2 linked regions of the Canis lupus familiaris genome follow. The protein of the gene in region 2 binds, or shares a complex with, the protein of the main gene of each other region. Links are inferred from orthologs where the notes say so. Each region holds a gene or a part of one and is shown on either strand. Other genes may lie near its edges. The genes, in order: RAB1B and TBC1D20.

Region 1 (2,557 bases), on a different chromosome or scaffold from region 2:
AGTTGGCTGGCCCTTAGGCCTAGGCTGTTTAGCTGTTGGGGCTGTTGGCAGACAGCTGGTGCCATGCCAGGTTTGGCTTTGGGGGTCTCAGATGGAGTGGGCCAGAGAGGAGATCTAAGCCTGGAGGAGAGAGAGATCTTCCTCTGGGTCCCTGAGCTCAGGGCTCCTGTCTCTCTCGGGAACCCAGGCAAACCCCCTTCAAAACCCCTTGTTCTCCTGGCCTTGAATAGGGGTGGGAGTTGGGAGCAAAATAATTTGTGATTCTGGCTTCTCTAGGAATCCTATGCCAACGTGAAGCAGTGGCTACAGGAGATTGACCGCTATGCCAGTGAGAACGTCAATAAACTCCTGGTAGGCAATAAGAGCGACCTCACCACCAAGAAGGTAGTGGACAACACCACAGCCAAGGTGAGTGGGGCCTGTGTCAGGCCCCCCAGGGCAGGCTGGGGTCTGCTGCCCCTCACCCCTCCTTTCCCACATTTCCCTCTTTTCTCTTTTTCCCTCATCAGGAGTTCGCAGATTCTCTGGGCATCCCCTTCCTGGAGACAAGTGCCAAGAATGCTACCAATGTTGAGCAGGCATTCATGACCATGGCTGCTGAGATCAAGAAGCGGATGGGGCCTGGGGCAGCCTCAGGGGGTGAGCGGCCCAACCTCAAGATCGACAGCACCCCTGTGAAGCCGGCTGGTGGCGGCTGTTGCTAGGAGGGGCACCTGGGGTGGGACAGGAGGGGGCACCTTCTCCAGATGATGCTCCTGGAGGGGACAGGAGGTGCCTCCCTCTCCTGGGGCATTTGAGTCTGTGGCTTTGGGGTGTCCTGGGCTCCCCATCTCCCTCTGGCCCATCTGCCTGCTGCCCTGAGCCCTGGTTTTGTCAAGGTCCCCAAGGGAGGACACCCAGGACCTTTGGCTGGGGTGGGGAGGTGGGCTTGCTCTGCTGCTGCCTCTAGGTAACTTTAAAAGATACCCCACCACACACCTTTCTTTGGGATGAGGGCTCCTCTTTCCCTCCCTTGCCCCCCATGTATGCTGCAGTGGGTTTCTCTCATCCTTTTCCTTCTCCACCCCACCCCTTCCCCAAGAGCTGGGAGCCTCCCTGGCCTCTATAGTCCCTGGCTGCAGTCAGCATCGGGGGCCAGGAATGGGACCAGGGGATCCAGGACCCAGGATCCAGGGCCCTGGGCTGGACCTCAGGAAGGGCATGGGGGCCACAGGGGCCCAGCAGCCCACCCTTTCCTCTCCTCCCTGCCTCTCCTCCCTGCTCCTTCCATACTCACAGCTCCAGCCGTCCAGCTGCGGTGGGGTCTGAGCACATCTAGAGCAGGTGGGCGGGCAGCCATGCTGGGCCTGTGTCTTGAGCCCAGAGGGAGCCTGCTCCTGCCACCCCCTGCCCTGCCAGAGCCAGGCCCATGTGCTGCCTGCCCACCGTGCCCCTTTGTCCCCAAGGCAGGCAGAGGCGGAAGGCCCACTGTGCCAGAGGCCGGGCATCAGCCTTAACCCTCACTCTGCCAGCACCTCTTCCCTTTCCCTGAGTCAGCACATCTGGCTTATTCTCTTCCTTCTGTTTGGAGCCTATGAGGGCAGGTCCTCATGCCCTGTCACTACTTCTCTTCTGGGGAATGTGGGTGCAAATCCAGGGTTGGGGGCCTCTCCCCTCACCCCCTCCCACCCAGGATCCTAGCCCCATGCCCTCTGGCATAGCTTCTTCCTGCAGAAAAACAAACCTTTGGTCTCTACCTGAGAAGCCATGTCCCTTGTGCTGTCTCTCGCCTGTCCCACCTGTGCCCTGCCCTCCAGCTTGTATTTAAGTCCCTGGGGTGCCCCTCACTCCCAGGTTCCCCTCTGGTGTCATGTCAGGCATTTTGCAAGGAAAAGCCACTTGGGGAAAGACAAAGGACAAAAAATAAATTTCCACTGGCCCTCGGGTGAGCCGAGGGTTTTTGCAAGGAAGTTGTGGTGGTTGAGTGTGGTCTGTGGTGGGAGCTGCCTTGGGTTGGGGGAATGGAACTGGGGCCCTGGGATTGGTGGCTGTACAGGGGTCCTGGCTTGGACTGTGTGTCCTAGGGTTGCTGTTGAAAGTCCTTGACCCACTTCCTAAAGCCAAGAGTGCTGCCTTCTTTTGCTTCTGTGGTGTGTCCCCACGGGCCCAGCACGGTTTTGGCAGAAAGGGAGGCGGTGGCCATCAGCTGCCGGTACCTGGTGAGGCTCTGTCAACACCCACACGGGCCCACATCTGTCCAGACTGTGGGCTTGGGCTGCAGACATGCACCATCAGACCAGGCCCTCATTCCCTTCAGCCCTCTCCCAGCTTTGCCCTGGGTTCAAGCCAAGAGTCTCTGCCCCCTTGGACAGTGCCAAGTTCCTCCCACTTAGGACCTCAGCCTGGCCTCCCAGGTCGGTGTGCACAATACAGTATGTTAGGGTAGGGGGGTGTGTGTGCTCTTCCGAGTGGACCGAACTCGTGTGACGCGGGGGGCGGGGGCGGGCACATGTTCAGGATGTAAGTCCATGCCTACGTGTCCCTGAGGTTGGGGCGGGGGTGGCGCTCGGCCCGGCGG
Region 2 (3,815 bases):
GTTTGGTCAGGACATCTTTCGTTCGCTCCTCAGAGCGCATGAGCCCCCGAAACCGCTGTCGCAGCACCATGTCAGGCCTCTGCTGGGCTGATGCCAGCTCAAAGTCTTTGAAGGTAGAGGCGGCCGTCCTGCAGCAGGTAAGGAGACAGAAGAAGGAAACAATATGAAAGAAGAGAAGGAAATTAAAACTGGATTATTACAGAAGCTGAGGGCAGAGCCATCCACTGCTCAGAAGGCTCTTCTTGATCAAGACCCAGGAAAGCTGAAGGAGGGAGTCTGCTGGCCTGAGCTCAGATCTCTGCAAACATCCCCCAGCCCTGTCCCCAGCAGACACAATCTTCCACCATTTCTGCTCACTTACAGACACCCAGTTCAACCAGAGCCTTGGCCTCACTCACTTCTCAGCCTGCTGTTGGGCAGCTGCCTTCCGGGCAAGTTCTGATGGGGGAAACTGAACAAACAGGTCTCCGGCTCTACTGATCAGTGTCTCATAGGGCAGGTCCTGAGGGATCTGGGACAAGAGGTGGTGGACCGAGGCCATGTCACAGTCACAATCCAGGACTTCCTGCTCTCGATACAACACGATCTGTGGAGAGCAAGGCCTTGTATCAGAGACCAGGACACACACGGCCTTCACCGCTTGCATGTCATTCTCCTTAGAGATGAATTTAAATTGGTAGCAGACAGCAAACTCTTGTATCCATCCGGGAAGGGATAATGTACATGAGTGCTTTTCCCAGGGGGCTGGCCCTTCCTGCTACAGGCAAACTTCCACCCCAGGATGTGGAAGGCCAATCAACGAAATGAAGGAGGTTCTTTTAGGAGGAAGAAAAGGAAAGGGATCGAGGACAGACTCTTGGAGCTCCAATACAGAAGAAATGGTTCAAAGCAGTCGAAGAACAGTCTTGCTCCCCTTTCAAGAGCAGTGAAGGGTGTCCTTGTGCTCCCATCTCCACCCTGACCTCCACAATTCAGGCCCTCCTAAGATATGGAGCCCCACCAAACCCCGTTAGTATTCCCCTGAAATACCACACTTCTTCCCTCTCCAGCCTGGAGATGGCAGTCTGTACTAGTTCCAAAACATGTCAATAGGAACACAGACAATTCATAACACATACGAGCATTTTAAAGGTTCAGAAGACTCGTGCAGTAAACAGATCTCTTTATAACTTGGTTTAACCAAGCATTTCCCAAACCTATTTTTTACACAGAACTTTTCTTTCCCTATGACACTCCCATTAACACTATACAGAACGGTGTCCAGGGACATCAGTTTGGGAAATGCTTTTTCTCATCTTTCCATAATCACCAGGTTTCCCTGGAGGGAAAATGATAACGATGGAGTGGGTGATGGTGAACTTAATTATTGCCTCGAGGCCTATACCTACCACAGCTGCAAAGTAAATGGGCATCAGCGGGTGGCAGGCCAGGAAGAAATCATATAACCGCACAACGTGCCTGAAGTCAGACAGGACGTGCCCAAACCAGGTGATGAGCCAGCTGAGGGCAAAGATGGTTCCCACCTCAGCGCTAGGAGCAAAGAAATCCACATGTTAGGTTTTTCCCTGATGGGCTGTCGCCTCCCGCTCTCTGGGGCATCCTTGTCCTCAGTGCTTATGAGAAGGAAGAATCTGGGAAATACATTCTCTGGAAAATTCAGCCACCTAGGAATTCAGCATCTTCTCACAGAATACAAAGTCCTTAAAACATACCCACCATCGTGACACTAATACTACGATGGGGTCCTGGTTGCCTTATTTCGCTGGCTGCTTTCCTAATGGTTAACCAGTATCAATTACAGGAGGAAGAAGTAGCTCTGTTCACAGAACTATACTATCATTTTCTTTTTCTTTTTTTTAAGATTATTTATTTATTTATTCATAGAGAGGCAGAGACACAGGCAGAGGGAGAAGCAGGCTCCATGCCGGGAGCCTGACATGGGACTCAATCCAGGGTCTCCAGGATCACGCCCTGGGCTGCAGGCGGCGCTAAACCACTGCGCCACCGGGGCTGCCCTATACTATCATTTTCTTTCTGAGAAAGTCCTATACATTTTTGGTGGACACAGGCACATATTCTTAGGCTTAAACACACAACTGTATTAATTGTTCAGTTAACATGAGATGATCGAAACATCTTAAGACATAGCCATTATTAAAAGAAAAGAAAAAAGAGTGAGGCATTGGCCAAGGACACATTTCCAATTACAGGGAAGAGAAAAAAAAATCATGAGATTTGTAAAGCAATGTTTCTTCTCCTTGGAACCTGGTGAATAAAACCCATGGATGGCCTTGTCCTTCTCAACTTGAGACCCTACAGTAGTGTGTATATATACTTTTTTTGTAGCAATAACCTCAAAGTCCACCTCAGCATACTCACCTCCCCCACCACTCCCCACCAGATGTAACCTCAAGGCATGCACGGTGACACATCTTGTATCCCCACAAGAGCACAGTATCTAAAAAGTGCTCCCAGACTGTACAGAACTAAATTATCCAGATTGCTGGCAAACAGAAAGGACAACCTGGAAGAACTCAACGCTAATCAACATATGATGGTGGTGAGATTGAGCTGGACTTGTGAGGAAGAGACGAGGGCCAGGAGAAAGACAAAGGGGGGTCTATTCGCGTGCACATGTGTGTATATAAGTGGAGATGCATATATACCTCTGCATGAAGTCATGGAGCTCTGGATTCACCTGGTCAATGATGGGCATCAGATAGTTTAATATATGCTTGGTGTTGTCCATTGTTGGATCCATGAAATCCCTGGATGGAGATAATTCAATAAGCTTGGTCAGACTAAACACTCAGATGAGGGCCGAAGGGGTTTTAACCACTCAAACCACACAAGGGCCAGTGGGGTTCAAACCACTGGAAACACTGACTAGAAAATGGGCCAAGGAGTTAACCCCAGGGGGGCTTGAGGAATGATACCCATCCTCTTATATTCCTCTGCACTGGTACCTGAGGTGGTGGGTAGACAATTTTTCTACCAAGGATGTTGTCAGCCTCTCGCCTACCACCAGCAGAAATGTGACCACAATGTCATGGTACCCCTGGTAGTAGTGCAGCTGAGGGTTGCGCTCCAAGATGAGGAGGATGATGTCGATCAGCTCTTCCTGGAGGCCCTCTCTCTGCTTCTCTGGCATGCCTGGGGAGGGAAAAAGGGGATGCACCGGAATACACTGAGCAGCCTGGTAATGAGGAGAGGAAGACAGCAAAGGACTTGCCAAATGTTTAATAAAAAATGAATTATGAGCAATTTGGCAACGCATATTAAAATCCACATACCGTCGATACTATTTGGCACATAGGAAAGAGCCACGGAATAGCAACCTTATAGTGGGGAAGACTGCAGATGCCATCTTAACCAGGCCGTCACAGCTGACCCTGCCAGGGCCATGACTACCCAATGGCATGAGCGTCCTGCTGTGGCACCTGGGAAAGAACTCAGGATTGCTTCTGTGGAATGCCTATAGGAGCACATCCACCTTAGTCTAAACACTAGACAACCCAAACTGAGGGAGATTTTATAAAAATAGCTGAGTCATAAAATACAAAGGAACTACTCCAGGGTCAAGGAGGCTAAGGATAGGATGACTGAATGGGAAATGCCTGCACTGTTTGTGTTTCCTTTCCTTTAAAGGACATGACTGCAGAAAAAGGTTAGACCTGAATAACATCTATACATTAGCAGCAGTATTTTTCAGTGTGTTGCTGACTTTAATAAGTGCAGTATGGTTATGCAAGAGCCTTATTTTAGGAACCACACCCTGAAGTATTTAGGGGTAAGGGGACACCATGTCTGTAATT

Evidence for each region.
Region 1: the proteins of TBC1D20 (region 2) and RAB1B are in contact, whole or in part, in a crystal structure (PDB 4HLQ), measured with the Homo sapiens proteins. The link is inferred for Canis lupus familiaris from reciprocal best matches to the Homo sapiens genes TBC1D20 and RAB1B. Residues at the interface, in NP_653229.1 of Homo sapiens: Gln97, Gln98, Leu101, Asp102, Arg104, Arg105, Leu107, Arg108, His141, Tyr142, Tyr143, Gln144, Gly145, His147, Asp148, Phe177, Met178, Asp179, Pro180, Thr181, Met182, Lys186, Val212, Ile215, Leu218, Ser219, Thr223, His227, Met272, Ala273; in NP_112243.1 of Homo sapiens: Ser17, Gly18, Ser36, Tyr37, Ile38, Ser39, Thr40, Ile41, Gly42, Val43, Asp44, Phe45, Gln60, Trp62, Ala65, Gly66, Gln67, Arg69, Phe70, Thr72, Ile73, Tyr77, Glu94.

Annotation. Positions count from the first base shown.
Region 1 is NC_049239.1:51,529,120-51,531,676, reverse strand, and holds the end of RAB1B (ras-related protein Rab-1B), read left to right. Parts: intron 1-276; coding exon 277-408; intron 409-509; coding exon 510-704; 3' UTR 705-1,949; downstream 1,950-2,557. UniProt on the Homo sapiens protein: The small GTPases Rab are key regulators of intracellular membrane trafficking, from the formation of transport vesicles to their fusion with membranes.
Region 2 is NC_049245.1:20,918,740-20,922,554, reverse strand, and holds part of TBC1D20 (TBC1 domain family member 20), read right to left. Parts: intron 3,154-3,815; coding exon 2,967-3,153; intron 2,769-2,966; coding exon 2,667-2,768; intron 1,531-2,666; coding exon 1,389-1,530; intron 587-1,388; coding exon 399-586; intron 129-398; coding exon 1-128. UniProt on the Homo sapiens protein: GTPase-activating protein (GAP) specific for Rab1 and Rab2 small GTPase families for which it can accelerate the intrinsic GTP hydrolysis rate by more than five orders of magnitude. Also shows GAP activity for RAB18 GTPase.